3 linked regions of the Notamacropus eugenii genome follow. The protein of the gene in region 1 purifies or fractionates together with the protein of each later gene. This does not show direct contact. Links are inferred from orthologs where the notes say so. Each region holds a gene or a part of one and is shown on either strand. Other genes may lie near its edges.

Region 1 (7,093 bases):
GGGTGAAAGCACACTTAAATGAGCATTTGGCCGATGGGACACAAGCATTTTCTCCTTAATCCTCTTGAATTGGATTGTTATGTTGCATAACTTTTCTTTCCCTGTTTCATTCATTCAACAAGCATTCATTGAATACATGTTATGTTCCAGGCTCCATGCTAGGCCCTGGGGATAGAGACAAAAATGAGATTGTCACTGACGTCATGAACCTACCTTCTATTTGGGAAAACAATATGTACACAGAAAATTAAATACAGAATAGTTAGCAAGTAGCTCTGATGTTAGTTCAGGCGTTCATTGCTTCTCAACAAGAGAAGTGTAACAAAGGCTTGCAACAGTCTTCTACATAGTCTCCCTGCCTTATCTCTCCCCTCTCCAATCCTTCACACCGTGGCAATTTGCCCTGGGGTTTGCAAAGCACTTTACAAATTTTATCTCATTTAATCCTCACAACAACCTGTATTACTACCATTTTACAGATGAGGAAACTGAGTTGGAGGTTAAATGACTTGTTCACAGGGCCACATGGCTAGTCTGACACAAGATTTGCATGCTGGTCTTCCTCATTCCAAATTTAACACTATCCATTGTACCACCTAAGATGTCCCTAAGTGCTTTCCTCTCTGTGGTTTCCTTGGAATCTTGAATATACCTATCTATGTATGGGTTATCTTTGTATGTATGAGTTGTCTCTCTGAAGAGCTTTGGTATTGATTGTGTGACATGGGAGATGCTGGCAAAGGACCACCCAGCATGATGTGCCCACATCAAAGATGGCTCTGTTCTCTATGAGCAAAGCAGGATTGCAGTAGCTCAAAAGAAATGTGAGATATGCAAATTTAGAAGCATCTCCATCCCAAATGTTCATATGAACTATTTTTGCCCAACCTGCGGTAGAGCCTTCTGAGCTTGTATTGGTCTGATCAGCCACAGTGGAACTCACTGTAACTTGATTCTAACATAGTGATGTCATTTTGATCTTCTTTGAGAAAGGACAACAACCAACCAATTTCCCCAGCTACAATGTAAGCTCTTCAAGAACAAGGTCTGTTTCCATTCTGCTTTTAAATCTCTAGCTCTTGGTACAATGGTGCTTATTATGCAGGACCCTCATTGATTGATAAAAAATAACTTCTACTGGGAGACCAGTAATTGTGGTTGGGCTGGTGGTGGATATTGGGGTGAAGTCCTATAGGAATTAGCACTTGAGCTGAGATTGGAAGGTATCTAGGGATGCTCTGAAGCAGAGATGAGGAAAGAGAACATTTCAGGCATGAGGCACAGGAATAAAAAAAAAAAATCAATGCAAACTAAAACAATGGGGGCAGAGAATGGGAGGGGAGGGGAGTGGGATTAGACGGGTGATTTCAGAGGTATAGGAAACCTGTTCTGAAGAAGTGCCCTTTGGCAAAGGAGGACACCTGCTCTTCTCAATTGTCTAAAAATGCTACAAACTGTGACTATAAAGCAATATTCCAAGCTACTTAACAGCTACAAAGGTATGCCATATGCCAAGTGCACCTGATTTGTATCTGAAGTGCATGCAACTGGTTCCCTTTTAAGCCTACAGCCTTCCTCACTTCAGTGCCAGGCTGTTAGAAACTGCCTGTTTCCTGCCTTCTCTATATAGAAGCTAGAAGGATGCTGGGACATGGAGTCTGGCTTGAGCTTGCTTAACATACTGCCTAGTCATTCTTAGTGATGTTAATGATGTTTCTAGCTCACTTACATATGCTATACCTGCAGGCTCAAATTGTGGGCACTTCCATAATGGCCTATAAAACATGCTTGGTTGCACAGTTGATTTTTATCATGTTAATAAACTAAGAGATGCCTGGAAATGGCTCTTATTTCACTTCAGAGCACCTGAAACTGGGAACTTTCTGGGAATTCAGGTGACTTCCTAAATCATTTCCATTTTTTCCCTTCAGTTTAGCAGAAACACTCAACAAGACAGTTCATCAGAATTACTGTGGGGTAAAAGATACTGAATGTTTTAAATCAATGGAATAGGAAATCTATAAACTTTCTTTCCAAACATTTTAGTTGGGGAGGTTTAGTGGGGGTGTTTTGGGAAGTCACTAGGAAATGTCTCTTAGTTTGCTTAAGCTGACAAGGATCATATATACGTGTGTGTGTGTTACATATGCACACATATACATATACTTATATATATATATATATACAAATACATACATAGATTTGTGCATACATATGTATATTGGAATGACCCCAGTAGCTTCCCCACTCTGTAAAAGCCTGAGGAATACTCAAAATCTCCTGACAAGGAAGGTGAATCATCCTGTTAGAATAAGAGCAACATTAACTGTGGAAAACCCCTTTTCCTTTCAGTAGAAAATTTGGACATCAGCTAACCCCCTATTTCTCAGGAATCTTCCCTTCCCCCAGAAATATGAATCAGCTCCAGTCTCCGGGCCCAGGTTCTTTGCTCCCTTCCCTCAATTCCTGGCCCTACTAGACCCAGATAAAAGCCCTATAAAAACAAACAAGCAAACCAAAACCTTCCCACACTTTATTGGTTTAGGAAGATGATGCCCCATTCCATCTGAGATCTGAGACCTGCCCTGTGTCCATCCTGCCTGATGGCCCCTTCATTTTGCAAGCATCTCCCCTCAATTAAACTGGCTGGCTTTCCAGTCTTGGCAGGAACTCCATGTTTCCTTAAACTGGGTTTTGGGTACAAAGATTTGGTACAAGAGTTTGTACTAAGACATAATGTGTATGTGTCTATTTTAAAAAGCTCTAGCTAGGCTAGAGTACCTGTTTTGCCCTTATTACAGGTCTTTAGCTCTGAAGCTAACTATATATGAGGGTCAGGTCTTCATTCCTACTCCCAGTCTAAAAGCAGCAATTTTAAGTGCAATGCTAAGCACCTTTTAACTAAGTGCTGATACCTGATGCTTCCCCAAAGCAATAATGCTGCTCTAGGAAAAGATAAAGGGATCATAGAATTGAGGAAGGGCCCTTGGCAATGCGTTTGGTTAGCTTCCTCCTTGTACACAGGAAGTCAGTTGGCAGCGTGGGGATAGAGGAAAGTTTGGCCTCAGAAAGTCTTCTAATCCCTGAATTCTGCTTCTTCCACTCACTACCGTCATGACCTTGGATGAGGGAGTGAAAGGTGAAATTTATCTTCCTTTCCTTGTTGTGAAGTTTAAGTTCATGCGACTCTTAAAAGAATTAGAGTTGCAGCAGGAAAAGATTTCTTCAAAGGCCTCAGTTTCCTGTTCTGTAAATTAAGTTGAACAATGGAATCCTTAAGGTCCCTTTTAGCTCTAATTTAAATGATCTAAGGAAATTTAGACCGGAAAAAGTTTAAATGATTAGTTCAAGGTCGCAACTAAATAAGAAACCCTGCCAGAATTCAAATCCAAATCTCTTCATTCCAAATACAATGCGGTTCCCACACTTCTCTCCTGGAGCTTCTCCCTCTCCTTCCCCTCCGCCTCCCCGCACCCCATCTTAAAACTCTGTATTTTAATCCAACAAAGGTATGATTTGTAAATTGCGGGAATCTTCTGTTTCTCCCTTCCTCCCTTCTCTTTTCTCTCCCTGTCATCTTTCGCCTTCCTTCTTTTAAGATGGAAATAAAAAATTGCGTGCATAGCAGTTCACCCAAATCTTGACTGCTATGACACTCTTTTAAGGGGTTGCAGGCACTTAGCTAAAAAATCATAAGGGTATATTTTCTGTGCATTTCCCTTCTTCTCCGCCCCTTTTACCCCCACCCCCAACACCCTACACTATCTTCACCTCTGCAAAAAAAAAAAAAAAAATACAGCGGGAGCTGGATTCTCTTTCCTCTCAAATGTGCCAGCTCTGAGATCCCGCCTGATTTAAACCCTGGCGAGGCAGTGAGAAAGAACAGCACTTCTGCTGTTCATTGCACAGAGGTAGGGAGAAGCAGAAGAGAGGGAAGGGGAGGCCCCCAAATGAGGGAACGCCTGGAATGATGGGGACAGCCAACTGGGAGGCACTGTGGGTGAGCCGGGGGCGGAGCCGCCGGAGCTGAGGCTGAGCCGCGCGGGCTGTCAGACTCTCCCAGGACTGTGCGCGCTGCAGGTGGGCACTAAGAGGTGCCGCTGCCGCCGCCGCCGCCGCTGCGGAAGCTCCTGGTCTCCTCGGCTCGCTCCCAGAGCCTGCCGCAAGTCCATCCTAGCAGAATACTGGGAGATCGAAACCGGGAAAGTACAAAAAGAGAAAGAGATCTGCTGCCTAGGGACCTGCGAGCAGACCCACCTCTCTACTCTGCACTACTTTTTCCATTGAGGAAGGTTGAATTTAGTGGGAGGAAGCAGGCTCCAGGAGGCAACGGAGGAAGGAGCCTTCTGAACTCAGGTGAGGCATTTCTGCCCCCCATGCTGACCTCCTGGTTCCTAGTTCTAGTCCAGGGCTTGCTAGGCTGGGACACAAGCTGAGCTGGAGGGACCCCCCCTCCCACGCCTGTCCTTGGCTTGAGGTCAATGGGGAAAGGGTGATGGACCAGGGCTAAAGGCGCTGAGTCTGGCTGCCACTTAGCCAGCTCCCGGGAGCAGAATGCTCCGGACTCCCGGGCGTCCCTGTGGAGGCAAGGGACAGAAATAGAGGTGCTGTTTAAGGTGGCAGGGGATTTTTTTTTTTTTTAAGGTGGACAGGCTCCTCTCTTTGCAAGCCTTTATAGACAGCCGCAGCATGTAGCCTCAGCATGGCTGGCTCCTCCATGGCCAAGAGGATGTGCGCCGGTGAACAGCGAAAGTGTAGAAATATTTAATCTCCCCAAAGGAGGAGCCTTTGAAGGTCCTGTGTTTCGACTTGGCAACTTCTCCTCCCGGTATTTCACACCCTCCTTTCTGGTTGCTTCTGCGTTTTGTTTTTAATTTGAATTATGACTTATGCTGATTTGCAAACACTTGAAGTGGCTTAGCTTGCAAGCTCGCTCTTCCCTGCCTTATCCCTTCTCTTCCTGCAGTTTCAACGCCTCCCCATAGAGTTCAGCGGGGCTCTGGGGAGTCGGCTATCATGCAGCCGTCATGTAGTTTGTATGTTAGAGGAAAGGTACCATACTTCTTGGCCGCCTGGAGCTGCGCCGCAGGGAGGGGTGCGTTGGGAATGTAGGCGAGCGCCCCTTGTAGCCTAAATTGGATGTCAATGGAACAGAATCTCAGATTCCAGACCTTGTTGGGCTGGGAGCTTGGCAAGATTGGGATGGAAGTATGGCGCGGGGTGAAGGGGGGCGAACCTTGTTACGTTTTTAATTTTTTTTAAAGCTTGGTATGAGGTATAGGAAGAGGAGGGATTCTAGTCCTACATCTGAACGTTTTCTTTCCCTTAGCCGTTCAGTTCTTGCCTAAAGGTAGTACTAGTTATCCACCTTGAGCATCCAAGCTCAGGATATGTGGGAGAGTTGCGCTCCCGCATGTGCGTGTGCCTGTGTGCGTGTGTGTGTGTGTGTGTGTGTGTTTTCTTGGGAAAATGAAGGCACAGGGAACCCATTCGTTCTCTCTGCTGGGATCTCTAGGACTCTGCCACTCATCGCAGCGTGTGGCCATCATCTTGTCATTCCTAGAAGCTCCAGCTCTGAATCTTCTCTTATCTTTTTTTCTCTTCTATTTTTCCTTAAGCATAAGCATTATCCTGGTTAAAAATAAATTGGTAGGAGGCGGGGAAGGGGAATGGGGGAGGAGAACCAAGGGATTTTTTTTTTAAAGATAAGACGATCTTATTCTTTAAGATAAGGTTTAACTCCCCTATAGTTAACGTTGAAATGGCCAGTGATGCAGGTTTGTGAAATACATCTTCCCACCCTCTCTCCCCCCAAACGAATAGCAATATGTATTTAAGAAGCCCAGAGGGGACCGGGTAGGGGGGCGCTGTTCCTTTCTCAGAATTAAGATCTTTCCCTTGCTTTGGGACTTGCTTTCTCCCGAAGAAGAACCCAGTGGTTGCCCTGCAGCTAAGGGACTGAGGTAGTCGTGTTGCCTAAGTTAATGGATTCCTTGATGGAAGGAATATGCTGCTGAGCCATACCTTTTCCCTCGCCTGGGCACTTAACCTTCAGCAGTTCGAGCAGAAATAAGTAGGTAGAGGAAAACAGGAGTAAAAACGAAACCCTCAAGGGTGCATAAGGCTGATCTAGTTGCTTTCACTCATATCACACCTAAGTCAGAGCTAGAAATTCTGCATGTGCCGATTAATAAGGAAAGATTTGAGTTTCGTTTAAAGTTAGGGAGTGGATCTGCAAATCTATGTGCTGGGGAGGGGGTGGGGAGAGAGGACTGATTGGTTGTATGAGCCAAAGCCCTCACTAGCTGCAGTCGCAGCCACCGCAGCAGCAGCACTCAGCAGCCAGTCGCCCCTTCTGAAATTCCCCTAGCTCAGAGGGACAACATTACTACCAACCTCATCTTTTAATTTTGGAGAACTGGAAAAGCTTTTTGTAAGCTTGCCAGGCTACTTTCAGGCTGGTGACCTTTCTGCACCGGCTGATGGTGATAAGGAGGTGATTTTGGAGTGGGCATTCCAAGCAGCTAAAACATGAACCTGGAGGATTTATTAGATTAGGTTGGAGGATGAGAAACTGTGATTTGTAATGAACACCGAAGGTTTCTGTGTAAAACGGCAAAGCTCAATAATCTTCAAGATGTGATCCTTCTATGCTTCCAGGCTTTCTATTTGTCACTTTCTTTTTATGAAATCAGGTGTTTGAGTAATGGATTAACATTGAGTAGGGCTGGTTGACAGCTCACATGTAATACACTTTGAAGTGCATTGGATTAGGAAAGAACCAAACCTTATTATTGCAGCCAGAGGAGGATGGAATCTACATAAAAAATACAAGTGGAAACAACTCTAACTCCAAATCAAATTTTGCTTTAAATCTGAATTCTATTTGATCAAAAGCAAGCAGTCTGGGAGAACTGTTAATGAATGAGGGTGAAGTGGGGTGTAGTGATTATTAAATTTTCCTTGATAGGCTTTGTAAGAATTCCAATCAGGCCTCTTAATACCCAAATCTGGAATTTCACTGGGGTGAGAGTGGGGAGGGGAGAAGGATTGGGGATTGTATATTTCACAATGCACACAAATGAAACTCAGA
Region 2 (7,778 bases), on another chromosome or scaffold:
AAAGTAAAATACTTTTCACTTTGAAATAAGTAAGTTGTAAAAAAAGTTCCTAAATCCCACTAAACCCCCCCCCCCCATTTTAATTACCCTCCCCAATAAGATGAGCTGTTCTTCATTAAGAGACAGTACTGGACTTATGATTTAATTGTTACAGAGAACTCCTGAGTGAGGAAACTCCCTTTACCAACCAGGTTTGCACCTTCACTGTAATTTTTAATCCTGAGTGAGCTCTGAGAGGCTAAGTAACTTGTCCAACACAACAAAGCCAGTATATGTCAAAGAGAAGCCTAGAACCCAGTTCTTTCTGGCTTTGAGGCTAGCTCTCCATCTACTACACCAAGAGATCTCTGTCACTGTGTATCGTCCTTTCAAAATGGAAGCCATCTGTCTCTTTTGCTGAATGAGCACTGCAGTCCTGCAACCACTCTAAACCTCCAGCATTCAGCTACATACAAGTTACAGTCCTACCCCCACAGCAAGGACTCCCCTCCCCTGACCCCACACACCTAGAGCACTTATTCAGAAAAAGGTCGTCATTACAATGTTCTCTGAACCACTCAGAACAGATCAGACCCATCTGGAGATAGATCTGTGGTACATTCAAATGGTGCAGGTATATGGGGGAGGATGGAGGAAGGAGGGTAGAGTGAAGGAAGGAGAAAAGAAAGGAAGGAAAGTGTTAGAAATGAAAAAGGGTGTAGGGTAATCCACTTTTTCTTTCACTATTCAGAGCTCTAACATTTCTTGCCTCTGTCCCATGCTCCACTACCCTCCCCTTCTTTTTTTCATCTTCTGGAAAGATGAGTCTGGAGAAAAATGTGTGGCTAAGGGTAACTATTTGCTACAATCTGCTACTTATGCTCGGGAGAGACTATATTATAAGGTCTCTTCTCCAGCAAATTCTTTAGACACTTCCGTGGCTTCCAGGAAGCTAATGAGTCCAGAGGTGCGTGGGGGTGGAGGTGGGTGAAGGGTGGATAAGAGAGCTGCCTTGGACCATGGAAACCGCCTAGTAGGGGAAAGGTGGGTTACTCTCGCTAGTACAGGCAGACATAGAGCCCCAACCCAGGGAGGGCGCGTGGGAACAAAATGAACTTGGGGAGAAGGATGGGGCGCAGGATCTTCCTCCCTCATTTTTTTCCACCTAGATCACTTCGCCTGCTGCATTGCCGGCCTTTGGGAGTCGCGTGTGCTGTGTGCAATCCCGCGGCGTCAGGCAAAGCAGAGTGGAGCAGTGGGGGGCAGGGAGGAGGAGAGCCCGGCGAGGAAGCCCCCTGGGCTCTCGAATGGGAGGAGGGGGGCGGGGTGGGGGACTGCGGTCCCTGCTGCAGAGTCTCCTCCGAAGGGAAGGGAACACGTGACAGATCTGGCCTCTGCTTCCCAGTGCCGGGCTCCCAGATCCCAGCCCCAAAGCTTAGAGAGCCCAAAGACCGACCCGAGCGTCTCCCTTCCCTGCGCCTCTGGCAAGAGCCCTGGGGAACTGGTGGGATAGAGAGGGAGGATCACGGGGGACGTTTCCAAGCTAGTCAGGACTCCAGCCTGAATTAGGGCTAGACTACCCCCTCCCCATCCCCGTCCGCTCCATCTCCAAGCCTCCAACCTGGATAGAAGGATGGAGAGCCCGAGCACTAGGTGGGGGATCCAGGATGCGGAGGCAGGGGATGCTGACAATGCTCCAGCTCCACCCACTACGCCCCTGAGGGCCGGCCGGCCGCCGGCTGCTCCCTCTGTCCCTCCCTCCCTCCCACCCGCCCGCCTGTGTCCTTGCTGCGGCGCTGGCCGAGGTGAGATTCCCGGTGCCCGTCCCTGCCTGGCCAAGTAAGCGAGCGAAGGAGCGAGCTCACCTCTGGGCCCCGCATCGCTCCCGGCTTCCTTCTCCGACATGGTTGCGCCTGACCCGCACAGCCCAGAATGAAAAGCTTCCCAGCCAGCCCCGGCGTTAGTCCGCGGCTTCGCTCCTCGGCTCGCAGCTCACTCTGGGGTCCGAGCCATTGGGCAGTGCGAGGCTCTGACGCGGAGGCGGCGGCTCCTCCTCCCCGCCTCCTTCCTCCTCCTCCTCCTGCCTCCCCCCGCCTCCCGCTCCAGCTCTGGATACTGAAGCCTCTGCGTCGGTCAGAGGAGCGGTCCCCAGAAAGTCCCTGCCTCCCACCTCCCAGTTCTCGGAGCCAGAGGGAAGTCTCAGTGTCTGACCCTGGAGCTTTAGGCCCTTCTTCCCCTCCCCTTGTCCTCCTCTCTGCAGGGCCCCTCCCATTCCAGATTCTTTTTCTCTACGCAGCTCGCCCCGCACCCGGTCCCCACCCCGCGCCCGGTCCTTGATCCAGAGACCCTCTTGGCTAAGATCTGTCTCTGACTCCGGATCCCACCCAAGGCATAGAGTTCCTTAGTGGGTGCAGAGACAGCAATCTGACGGACTTCGTAATTACTGTAGCTTTCTGTTGTCAGAAGCTGAAACTCTTAAAGATAGCTACGCGCTCCGCATTCTGATTCCGGTCAGGAAACCCTGACGCTTGCTATATTAACCCTGACTGCAGTCTCAAGTTCAGTTCCTCCTCAAGCAGTCCCAATTACGTTTTCCCCTCACTTTGGGAACCACAGCCTTGTCAAGAACCAGAAGGCCCTGGCGTTTTAAACCAAACGGCACCCAAAGAGGATATGTCTAATGCAAACCTATGACTTTTGTCGCCAATGAGGGGAAAGAGAAGCATTAAATAAAGAGAAGACAAATACGTAGGAGATAAAAATGCAAAAAAGAAACGGAAATTCAAGCTGCAGATCAAGGTGGGGATAGATCTCAAAGGACCCTTCTAACTTAAGATTCTAAAATTCCGTAGAATGAAAACGTACTTTCTTGAGACCATCGATTATGCAGCTACTTTGAGCCACCCAATAGTCCAGAAATAGAAGCTCTCTCTGAATGTCAAGGCAGTGCCTGCAGTACTCAATCTGGTGCTGGGCTGCCTGAATATAGCTTCGACTGTAGGTGTTGTGAATAATCCAGAATAAAAAAACTCCATAGCAACTGTTTGCCCAAGTTTTCTTGGATGCCGCATGCTACTTTCCATATGTGGGTTCAGATTCGGTCCCTCTTAAAGCTCCAAGAATAATGATAATGGTATTGCCAGGCCTCCGTAATGAATTCATTAATCCACATGAACCATTCCCCCATCCAACTTCTTTACAAACCTAACTGTTGACCCTGTTTTGTACGGATGGACCAGTCACCTTATTAGTTCCTGACCTTTTCTATAACCATCAACCTTTCTGAGGTAAGGTCCAAATAGATGCTTTCTCAGGGTCTTGTTCTTGAATTTTGAACTTGTGGGATACTAGGAATACTTATGGGGCAAGTAAGGCCAGCTGGTGGAAGTGAGAGATCTTTAGCAAGAACCCAGCTTTACCTCTTTGAATTAATGCCTGAAGGAATAGAAGGAATGATTCCCCAAGGTTATAGCCGTAGCCGGAGTATGTGTTCGTCCTTCCTTGCCGAAGACCATGCCATCAGAGAAATAATGACATGACTTGCACTTGACTTTGTTTTGAGTGCGGAAGGTCTGTGCAGGTCACTAGTCTCACTTCTCCTCCAGAGCCATCTGAATCCAGTGGCAAGATATTCATCAGGATGACTTGGAGATGACAAGATGAGGCAATCGGGGTTAAGTGACTTGCCCAAGGTCACACAGCTAGTGAGTGTCAAGTGTCTGAGGTGAGATTTGAACTCAGGTCCTACTGACTCCTGCACTGGTGCTCTATCCACTGCACCACCTAGCTGCCCCTCTGGGGCTGGAGAAATTAAGACTAAATTGCATAGGTCTTTATGCAGTTTTTAATATGGAAAGAGTAGGTGAAGGATAGCTTTCCCGACTTTCTCTTTCTGACTGTGAATCTACTTGTTCTGATCAAGTATCCCTGGATTTGATGTCAGAAAACATTCATTCAAATCTTGCATCTCATTTAATAATTGCATGGTTTCAAACATGGGCCTCAGTTCCTCCTACTGTTAAAAGAGAAAACTGAATATCACCATTTAAGAGGTCCTTTTTGCCAGCTCTAAATCTCTGATCCATGTTTTGTGGGCAAGCCAATGTCCTCCCTTACATACAAAATGGGAACCCATTGCATCTTGTAGCTTTCAGCATCTCTCACAGGAGAAAGTCAGTGGCATCTCTTGATCACTGTTACCTACAGAGTAGTTACCAAAAATCATTCCTTATTGCTGGAGCACCCAGGGTCCTTAGAGACAAGAACTAAAAAAATGTTGAACGAGAAGAGAACAAAGTTGTGAGAATATGGTTGAATATCTGAATGTGACTTAAGGATGAGAAAATGTACAGCAAATGTTGGAGACAGAGCCCTAAAGGGGGAGAGGGATTGGAGTAGAGGAAAAAGAAAGAAAGCCCTTCACTAATGCTCTGTTTTCCCTTTGAAGAGGAAACCTGAGTTTGAAAAAAGTCATTAGATTTTTAGTTAGAGGACCCAGATTCAAATGCTGATGGTGTAGCAGCTAGGTGCATAATCAGGGGTGCTACATTTGGAGGCAGGAAGACCTAATTTCAGATTCCACCCCAGATACATACTACATATGTGACCCTGGGTAAGTTACCTAACTTCTCTCTGCCTCAGTTTCCTTATTTGTAAAATGAGAGCCTATCCTGCAAGAGTGTTGTATGATCAAATGAGATAAACTTTTAACACATATAAACGTTTTTGTTGTTTTACATACTTTAAAGCACTAAATGATGATGATGATGTTTCTTGCAGGTATTTCTGAGAAAAGGAAGCCTTGGAGATTATCTGGCTCAACTCCCTCATTTTCCAGAGGAGGAAAATGAGGCCCAGAGAATTTAAAGGACTTGCCCAAGGTGACACAGCTATTAAGTGTCAGAGCTAAGGGACTCAAACCCATATCTTCTCATTTTGAAGCTGGTACTATTTCTGTTATACCTGGATTAAGTCCTTTAATTTTTCTGAGCCTCAGTTTCCCCACCTGCAGAATCTGGGGTATGACAGACAAGAGCATCCTCACTTCATTATCGAATATTTACTGACTGCCTACTTTGTGCAGAGCCCTCACTTCACTGGACAGTGAGGCCTAGATGATCCCTAGGGTCCCTTTTAGCACTAACATTCTATTATTTTACCCCATAACCAAGCCACATCCCTGTCTGCCTAGCAAAGCCATTTTATATTTGGCAGCTTATAAACGTAGCTGAGATAGGCAGGGCTTGACTCTCAGGGACAGCACATACAAACATAAAGAAAGTCTGTTTGACAGCTGCCTAAATGATGTCCAGCTGGAAATAGTGCTGCCCATCTCCAGTGTGACTCCAGAATACCAGCGGCAGGGTTCCATCCTCACCAAGTGCCTACAACTCGCATTAATGTTAAGAAAAGTATGAGTGAATGGAGGCTGAGAGGTAGGGGATGGGAGTACAATGGATGACCTTTGGTCCTCAGGAGAGTAAGAAATTAACAGCTTCATTTACAGTAAAACAGAAAAGGCAACACCTATTCTGTGTTTGATTTGTAATATGCAGCCTCCATGAATGTCCTCATACATCAAAGCATGTAACTTAACCTTTTATTTTCTCTCTTCATCCTCAGAACTTACCATGGTGCCTTCCCTATAGCAGACAGTTAATAATTGAATTGAATCTCATTTTTTTTTTAAAGCTTCTCTTAAATTGGAGTTGACTCAATGCATTGGGCATGGGAGCAGATGACTCCACCTCACTCTCACTTTTAAACAGTTTCATCCAGAAAGCAGTTAAGGAAACAAAGTACTGAACTACTGGATTCTGTTCTCAGCTCTTCTGTCATGTGACCCTAGGCAAATCACTTCAGTTTTCTGGGTCTTGGTTTTTACTCATAGAAGGAAGATTAGGATACCTGGCCTCCCTATCACAGGGTTATTGTGAAGGTCAAATGAGATAACCCATTTGTGAAACTACCAAGTGCTATGCAGATATGCTGCACCATTATTATGTCCAACAGAACCTCTTCTGGCCAGCTGCTGAGCCACATGTTAACCACCAGGAACCTCAATAGTACCATACTTATCCTGCTGTTAAAGTTCCCTTTACTGCAGCATTAAGTGTAGATCCAATTCTGAATTTCAATAGAGGAAATTTTAGGTTGACTGATACTTCAAAGTGATTTATACTCTGAGATATACAGTACTTGGAGTTCTGCCTATGAACTAAGTATTATGGCAAGTGACCCATTTATAAGAGACCTAATAAAATGAGTTTTACTTTTAATAAAATAAGATTGATTTAACAGGAATGAGATGAGCACAACATGCAAATACAAAAAAACCTTTCAGGGGAAAAAAGCAATAGTTCGTATTTATGTAAAAGTTTAAAGTTGAGAAAGCATTCTTTTAACAACATCTGGGTAAGGTAGGTAATGCTCTTATTCCCATTTTAGAAACTCAGAAACAGGCTACATGTCTGTAAATGGCTTGCTAATTACAGATCAAAATTCTAAAAATAAAAAGAGCAGCTGATAAATTTTTGACTTGTCTGAATGATTGTTTCATTATTCAAAAGCTCGAGCAAGCCATGAAGAAAATAATTCTGAACCTGATGCTGACCACTGTGAAGGTATTGGTTGCCAAAGTATAAATAGAAGGACTCTTGGGAGAAGGAGACCACAGAATCTGACAGTACATGGAAGAGAAGGGAAGGCAATGCATAATCTCACATGTATACTAAATCTGGGGATGGCAGATTTCCAAGAGTTCAGGGAAATAACAGATGCAATCCCATGACCTAAATTTCTTCATGGGAAGTCAATTCCAAAAGATGGGATGCTCTGAAGAATGAAATTCTTGTGGCATAAACAGAAGTTGCTACGATGAGCAACGAGGAGGGGAAACTTTCTAAAGACACTTATGTAGGTAAATGTGAGCTAATCAAACCCACTTGGATTTTTAAAGGCTACATACAGAAGGGAGAAGCAAAAGGAAGGAAAATGGCCCAATATTATAATGTAAGGGATGCTAAAGACCAGCATTAACTTAGGTTGGCAATGAATAGTAAGGACAACAAAAAGGATATTTTTTTCAATTATATTAAGGACAAGAGAAAGATCAAATAAGGCACACTATTGCTGCTTAGAAGGAGTAAATTACAAACTGAAGAGAGAACTTCAATACTTGTTTTTTGCTTTTGTTATTGATGCCACAGAGAATGGTTTTCAGAATGAAAACTATGGAACAAAATTGATCAATAATTGAAACCCATAAGTTAAGAGATGGTAAGAAGGCCCCTAGTCACGCTCAAGAGGACTTCAATAGAGTGGATGAACTACAGTATCAGAACACTACGAAACGTTATTGACATGATTGCTGAGCAATTGTCAATTATCTTTGAAAAATCACAGAGGATAAGAAAATTGCCACAGAACTAGAGATGAGGAAAGAATGCCCTGATGTTCAGAAGGGAGTAGGGGAAAAGTAGATTATTAAACTATAAACTTGTGAGTAAGCTTGACTTTAATTAATAACACAATTGCATAACACACCATTAAAAATGATTAGTAAGAACTTAAAAAGGCAGGGTGAAGCAAAGATCACGAAGAGCTAGTATGGATTCAATCACAAAACATGTCAAACTAATCTTGTTACCTTTTTTTTTAAGTTACCAAACATTTAGATTAGGGGATGCCGTAAATAAATTATATAACAAGACATTTGGCATCTTTTATTGCGGTTGTTGTTCGGTCATTTCAGTCATGCCCAACTCTTTGTGACCCCATTTGGGTTTTTCTTGGCAAAG
Region 3 (7,832 bases), on another chromosome or scaffold:
AAGCAAAGGAAAGAAATATTTTAGATATTATATAAAAATGAACTGGAAAAAATAGCCTTGATAAATTCATGAACAACCATTACTATCTACAAATTACTTTATCACTCAGGCCCAATAATCAGAAATTTTAGGGAAGCAATAGAAATTCAAGTCAACAAACTTAAATAAACTGATACTGAGAATCTGATATTGAATACAAGGTAATGGAAATGAGGTGACACACTTGAAGCTGGATTCCCATACTGAGAATAGTTCAACCAAGAAAGCAAAAAAGTAGGTAGGGGACAGAAGCACTGGAAATATTTACGGGTTTTTTCTTAAACATTTCAGTTTTTTCACGGAGTACATAATTTAAGAGGTCTAGAATTCTTAAGGAATCCTGGCCAGAGATTGCCTGTCTAGGCTCACTTAGACTTTTAAGTCTTTAAAGTAGCAAAGGCCCTCAACTCCTTTTGATCAAATCCAAACTTCACAGAACAAATCCCCTTAATAAAAGGATTTGTTCTGTAAAACTTGGACTCAGTCAAAAGGCCACACCTGAGGACCTATAAGGTCATATGTGGTCTGGAGACCACAGGTTCCCAGCTCCTGGTGTATACTATATAGTCAAATCACCAAGTAATAACAACAGCTGCTATTTATTTAGCCAGAATTACAAAGGCTTTACATACGTTTCATTTGATCTTCAAAACAACTCTGATAATACCAGATTATTGAGCATCTATAACTGAATGAAATTGATTTTGTATCATATTTCAAGAAAATGGAATCTACAATTACTGCCACATACCTACTGACTGCCCCTTCAAGGTCTCTCTGTTTGGCTGGGGGTCCTCCTCCACTATCTGAGAATCCACGCCTAAAATGGAAAAATATCAAGACTTTATCTTAAGGGGGGAAGGGGAGGGTGTATACACACCAGTTTTTACAATGAAATTACAAATAATCAGTTGAATACATTATTTTAAAAATATCCTTAGAATGAACATACCAAAAAAAAGCCAAAAGAGTGCAGTAAGAAAGTCCTTACATAAGGTGAAGAATAATTAATTCTAGAATGCTAGATCTCTCCCTTACCAAAAGATGGTGGTGGAGAACTCAAAGACCTTAAAATGACATATATTTCCTCTTAGCTATTTCCATTTCTCATCAAACTTAATTTGTTATGTAACAGAATTTAAAGAACTAAATTTTACAAGTCCCAATAACACACAAAAGACAGTTCCAAAATTCAAACATATTGAAATACTTGAAATATTTAACCAGTGTTAGTACTTCTGAAAAAAAAGGTTTAAAAAACCCCATCTAAATTTTAATAAGTTGTATGTTAAACTCTAAGCTAGTGTTTTAAAGACAAGAGGTCTAAAAAGTGCTCAAGGTACCTTCAATAGTTAAGATAACATAAGAGAATTTTAAAGGTGAGACTTAAAGTATAAAGGATAGGGACTATACCAGTGATTTCACAAAAAACAGGAATTTCCAGGTGAGGAAACTCCCTCTATTAATGCAGGTTGGCATCTTATCTACAATTTATCTTCTTATAGAATTTTCTAGAGAGCAGTGAGGTTTAAGCAATTTGAGTAAACCAGACTTAAATTTTTTTTTTTTACATCAGAATCCACCATGAATTTAAAACTTTAATGGCTGTTATTTTTTTATATGACTTAGTAAGAAGTTCAGTTCAAGAGAAATGAGAGGTGGCACTTACCTTAGCAATAAACTACCACGACCCCTACCTCCACCAGGGCCTGAGAGAGCGAGCAATCGAGCTTGGATGGGTCTGTAAAGAGAGTTGGGAATTGGTATACTGTGAAACAACAGCTTATACATGTAAAAGAACCACCGAATCAACTGTAAAAGGAAATAAATTTTAAACAAGGAAAATCACTTAAGTAGACCTCTTAAACGTATTCGGTAGATGTTGGTGATTTTTAGATTAAGGTTACCCCATTAAGTATTTTCTTACAGATGTTAATTAGAAAGAAGTACGGGCTCGACACAACCTCAAAGCCCCCCAAATTCCCATGTCGGGTTGGCCTAGCCAAGTCTGGTTTACAAATTCACGACAGTTAATATATCACTCCCCCCATTCGTGATTTATACAGGCCAAGAGTGGAGGTGAAACGTCCGAAATCTCCTTTATACACAAGGGCTGAGTAGAAACATACCAAACTCTTCTTCATACGGACATGTATACACACATATATTTACATATACATATAGTAAGGCCAGGGAGGAAAATAAGACCCTGCCGCCAACCTGCAGGGAGGAACAGGAAGCCAAAACGTGGTCTGGAGGCTTCATCGTGGAGCGCCCGAGCTGAGCGGTCCGGGGGCCGCCGGGAGTGCCTCCGCCTGGGGCCAGGAGGGCCGAGGAAGGCCGTGAGCCTTTGCGGCGAGCTCGCCGGGGGCTGCAGCACCTCGTGGGTTAGCCGGGCTGGGAGCGGGAGGCAGGGGCACCGGGGCCCGGCCTTTCCGCAGGCCTCTCCGGCTGCAGTTCCCACACGACCCGCGTTCCCCTCACCACTCCCCCTCCCCTGAAGACCACGAGACCAACGCAGGGCGGCGACGGTGTCTCAGAGCCGCCCCTGCCCAGGGGGAGGCGGCCCTGCAGTCGCCCCCCCGCCCCGGTAAAGGTCCGGCTGCTCCTGCCCTCTCCCGATGCGGCCCAGGGTTCGCCGCCTCCCCTGCCCCCACTTCGCCCAGGCCCCGCGTCCTCAATGGCGCCGAGAGCCCTTCAGGGGAACCTCACCTCACGTCATTAGGGTCCCTGCCGGTGAGCTTCCGGATATTCTCATCCACATTTTTTAAGCTCTCCTTGGCTTTTTCCAGCTGCTCCTGCAAAGTTCTCACTGCGACCGCCATCTTCTCCACCCGTGGCTGGTGCGGAGGCAGCTCTCAAGCCAGGTCGTCCCGCGTCGCGAGATCAGGCCGGGAGTGATAGTTAGAATTAGCCAATCAGGAGCGGGGTTGCTCTCGGCCGTCGGCCACTTAGAGACTTCAGGGGCGGAACTAACTCACTTACAGAGACTTGACCAATAAATAAAGCCACAAGGCGGCAACCTGTGCAGCCAATGGGGTGGCTTCCTTTTGGGAATAGTGATGCGTGCAGAGTTCGGGAGGAGGCGGGGCTGGAGGTCTTTCATTTACTGGAGGGCGGTATCTGCCAGAGCTTGTAGGTTTCAAGTTCACCAAGTCCCTTCTCCTTGTCCTCTGTAACATTTCATGTGAATGGGGGCTATTTTTATGCATTAATGGGGAGGATGGAAGGAAGAATGGGATGTGACTCAGACCTCCACATCCATCCCTCATCTCCTTGCTAAGCTTCATGCCAACATTTATGTTTCAGCAGCGTGCTGGGCTCCCCAAGGAAAAGAAAGAGAAAGGAAGAGAGTACCTGCCTTCTCTCACACAGAGAAGAGGAGCTCTTATGGGCCATGACCGTGTCCACGTGCCCGTGGGCTTTGGGGCTGACTCAGTGCCAGCCTCCATACCTTCATAACTTTCTGCCATGACTGTCCGTTCATTAAAATCTCAGGGTTCAAAAGTCGTCTAGCGGATATACTCTGGAACGTTATCAGAAATGACCAAAATTGCAAAGACTCACAAATTGGCCTTCACGCTAGACTAAAATCAAGGAAATATCTTGTGTTGTGGGCCTCTCAATCTTGAATCAACTTATGGACTTGGACAAAATTATTGCTAATGGCTACATACTTTATTAGTAGTGTGAAGCAACATGAAGGTAAACCAAATCCACCCCATTTGGGTTTAGTGCTTTGATTACTTTCACTTTTTTTGATTGAATCAGAACTGTGTGAACAAGGCCTGTAGACCTTGGGTGAGTCACAAGGCCATTGTGTGAAAGACTTGGGTCATACCCTAAGCACTGTTTATTAAAGGGAGAAACTACTTTTAAATTGGGGAAGAAGACATTTTGTTTGGATTCAAGAGGTTGAAGGAAGGATGGAGCAAAGAGAATTCTGAACTATGGCGGAGAAGCATTGAGTAGAGAATATATTAATCTGAGAATATATTAAGTAGAATCCCTGAGTTCTACAGGCAGCACAGAGAGGAGGATCCAGGCTGAGAGAAGTTCTAGTAAAGGATGAGATGTTTCCCCAACTTCCCTTCCTAGTTCCTGATTCTCCAAAGACATTCTATAATCTGTTTCTTACCTAAATGTTAAATTTGGGTAAATTTAAATTATTGTAAATTAAATTTTTCCTCAACCACAAATATGGCAGTGATTAACTAGAGACAGATATAAATGTAAGGTTTGGCAGAGTACCTAGCCTCCGCTTAACACTTTAGTAACTTTTCCTGAGGTCTCAAAAAAGCTTATGACTGAATTCAGAACTTTTCATCCAAAGTAAATTCCCTAAAACTGAGCTAATTATTACAACAGGGTGTTACATGAAGATAAATATATACAACAAAGTATATAAATCTGCAATGAGACTCACAGTTAAAGTCACCTCTCCTCCACCCTACTCCCAGCTTGTGAAGGTGGGGGAGCCACTAAAAAGCAAAAGGTTAAAATTTAAACTTTTGAGTGAAATTTTCCCAGCATTATGCTGTAGAAAAAAAATGTGAAGAAACCACTGACTCCACTTCTACTCTTACCAATTGCCATAGTTGCCAATTCAACATGGTCTCAACTCCTCCTACTCTCTGATCTATATGCTTATCTACTTATCTCATTCCTACCTCTCTGTTACCCCCAAACTTAAGTAGATGTCTTTTCCTCCAGGATACTAGACTGAGCTCTCCTGAGTGCCTATGAATAGTCCAGCCCTAGGATGCTATTATCACAGGAAGGTCCTCCTAATTCTCCATGATCTTAGAGAGATTTTCCAAAGGTTCTGTGATCCTAGAAAGGATCTCCAAATTCTCTGTGATTCTAGGTCTTAGCAATTTGAGGTTACATAAGTTTATATAAAATATATACATATAATGATACTTCTGGCACTGGTCCAGGGTGATTCTTTTCATCCATCAAGGGGTTCCTAGCTCTAGAACCATATATACAAGCCAAGTTCAGTCCTGAGATGATCCTGACCTCTAAAGAAAGAGGCTAGACTCTTTGCCTCAAACTTTCCAGTTCTTTATACCTCACTTTGTACCTTGTGGGAAAATCACTTAAAGTTTTGGTTTGGCTTTTCAAAAAAGAGGAGAACAGGGCTGGAGCCAAGATGGCATATTAGGTGCAGCAAACCAGCTGAGATCTCCCAACATTCCCCTCCAAATAATTTTAAAATAATGCCTCAAATAAAATTTTGTAGTAGTAGAGTCAACAAAAGGTTAGGGTGAGACACCTTTTCAAATCTTAGGAAACATAAGTTGTTGGCAAGAAAAGTCTGTAACACTGGGGTAGAAGCCTGTCTGGAGCCCACACACACAGTGATGGCAACAGCAGCAGCTTTGGGAGCTCTCAGCCCAGAGACATAAAGAGGGTCAAAGGACTGCTCAGAAAGAAATCAGAGGGACCCTTTGCTGGCTCTAGGTGCAGCTAGTGCTGATTGGCAACTCTATTTTATAGGTAATTCTGGTTCACAGTTCCAGAGCAGAGAGGAGTGCTGGAAGTCAGACACAGTGGAGCAGGTGCCTAGGTCACATAGTTTCAAAGCAAAGAGGAACATTAGGCTTGTAACTGCAGGGGACCATGGACTATTCCTGGGTAAAGATCAGAGCCCAGACCAGGGGAACAGTGACCACACCTTTCCCAGGATCACACCAGCTTGAAAGTAACAAAAACTTGTAGAACCCTAGAGCTAGCTCTAAAAACAGCAACACAAAAAAAAAAAGCCTGAAGCAAACTCCAAGGCCTTCCCACCTCCAGATAAGCAGGGTCCAATTTTAACCTAAAGTTCAAAGCCAGGAAATAGGCTGGAAAAATGAGGAAACAACAGCAAAAAAGAATTTAACCATTAAAAAACTACTACAGAGGCAGGGAAGACCAAGCCATAAACTCAGAAAAAGCAATGTGAAAACAGCTACCAAAAAAACCCTCAAAATAAAAAAATGCTGATTGCCCCAAACCAACAAGAATTCCTGGAAGAGTGAAAGAAAGAGATAAAAGTGGTAGCAAGGAGGAAAAGAAATGAAAGTGATCCAAGAAAGTTATGAAAAGAGAATTAACAGTTTGGTTTTTGTGTCTCTTTTGAGACACAAAAAATACTAGAGAAAATAACACCTTAAAAACCAGACTTGGCCAAATGGTTAAAAAAAAAAGCACAAAAGTGCACTGCAGAGAAGAGCTCCTTAAAAAGCAAAATTGGCCAAATGGAAAAAGAGGTACAAAAATCTCACTGAAGACAATAATTCCTTGAAAATTAAATTTGGGCAAATGGGAGCTAATGACTTCAGGAGTCATCAAGAAACAATAAAACAAAATCAAAAGATTGAAAAAATAGAAGAAAGTATGAAATATATTATTGGAAAAGCAACTGACCTGGAAAATAGATCAAGAAGACATAATTAAAGAATTATTGGACTACCTGAAAGCCATGATCAAAGAAAGAGCCTAGACATCATATTTCAAGAAATTACCAAGGGAAACAGCCCTGATATCCTAGAATCAGAAGGTAAAATAGAAATTGAAAGAATCTGCCACCAATCACTTCCTGAAAGAGATCCCAAAATGAAAACTCCCAGAAATATTATAGCCAAATTCCAGAGCTTCCAGGGCAAGGAGAAAATACTTAAAGCAGTCACAATTCAAATATTGTGGAGCTACAGTCAGGATCACACAGTATTTAGCAGCTTCCATATAAAAGGAGCAGAGGGCTTGGAATATGACATTCTGGAAGTCAAAGGAGCTAGGATTACAACCAGGAATCACCTACTCAGCACAATTGAGCATAATCCTTGGGGGGATGGAGGGGAGGGAAGAGAGAGGAGGGGGGGAATGGATATTTGGTGAAATAGAGAATTTTCTAGCATTCCTTATGAGAAGGCCAGAGCTAAGCGGAAAATTTGACTTTCAATCTAAGACTCAAGAGAATTATAAAAAGGTAAACATTAAAGAGTAATCATAAGGGGCTCAATAAAATTAAACAGTTTATATTTCTATATGAGAAGATGATACATGTAACTCCTAAGAACTTTATCATTATTAAGGCATTATTAAGTCATAGGTGTTAGCTGATTATATTGGAATTAGGTCAAAAAAGTTAATCAGGAAAACTACATTTTGCTGAAAGATAACATAGACAATGAAGTAATATCAAAAAAATTTTATAGCAAGTTTCTCTGATAAAAGACTCATTTCTCACACATATTGTGTATAGAATTGAGTCAAATTTATAAAAATAAGAGCCAATTCCCCAACTGATAAAAGGCTCAGGGATATAAAGAGGCAGTTTTCAGAAGAATAAATTCAAGTTATCTACATTCATAAGAAAAAATGCTCTAAATCACTATTGAATAGAGAAACGCAAATTAAAATAACCCTGAGGTATTACTTCACACCTAGAAGAGTGACAAATGCTGAAGAGGATGAGGGAGAAATAGGTACATCACTGAACTGCTGCTGTAGTAATGAACTGGTCCAACCATTCTGGAGAACAATTTTGAGCTATACCCAAAGGGCTATAAAACTTTAACCCATCAATATTACTATTAGGTTTCTATCCCAAAGAGAGTAAAGAAAAAGGAAAAGGACCTATATGTACAAAAATATTTATAACAATTCTTTTTGTAGTGACAGAGAATTGGAAATTGAGGGGATGCTCATCAGTTGGGGAATGTCTAAACCAGTTGTGGCATATGATTATGATGGAGTACTATTGTACTACAAGAAATGGCAAGGGGATGGTTTCAGAAAAACAA

Evidence for each region. Proteins that work in one complex are often made in the same cells at the same time.
Region 2: the proteins of EPB41L3 (region 1) and HSPA12A purify together in Homo sapiens (affinity purification with mass spectrometry; 4 studies listed by BioGRID and IntAct, with this or other methods). This does not show direct contact. The link is inferred for Notamacropus eugenii from reciprocal best matches to the Homo sapiens genes EPB41L3 and HSPA12A.
Region 3: the proteins of EPB41L3 (region 1) and PNN purify together in Homo sapiens (co-immunoprecipitation; 3 studies listed by BioGRID and IntAct, with this or other methods). This does not show direct contact. The link is inferred for Notamacropus eugenii from reciprocal best matches to the Homo sapiens genes EPB41L3 and PNN.

The regions. Positions count from the first base shown.
Region 1 is NC_092875.1:238,189,393-238,196,485, forward strand, and holds the start of EPB41L3 (band 4.1-like protein 3), read left to right. Parts: upstream 1-4,092; 5' UTR 4,093-4,356; intron 4,357-7,093. UniProt on the Homo sapiens protein: Tumor suppressor that inhibits cell proliferation and promotes apoptosis. Modulates the activity of protein arginine N-methyltransferases, including PRMT3 and PRMT5.
Region 2 is NC_092872.1:196,119,465-196,127,242, forward strand, and holds the start of HSPA12A (heat shock 70 kDa protein 12A), read right to left. Parts: upstream 3,014-7,778; 5' UTR 1,885-3,013; coding exon 1,845-1,884; intron 1-1,844. UniProt on the Homo sapiens protein: Adapter protein for SORL1, but not SORT1. Delays SORL1 internalization and affects SORL1 subcellular localization.
Region 3 is NC_092872.1:331,961,005-331,968,836, reverse strand, and holds the start of PNN (pinin), read right to left. Parts: upstream 3,014-7,832; 5' UTR 2,865-3,013; coding exon 2,752-2,864; intron 1,781-2,751; coding exon 1,709-1,780; intron 860-1,708; coding exon 791-859; intron 1-790. UniProt on the Homo sapiens protein: Transcriptional activator binding to the E-box 1 core sequence of the E-cadherin promoter gene; the core-binding sequence is 5'CAGGTG-3'. Capable of reversing CTBP1-mediated transcription repression.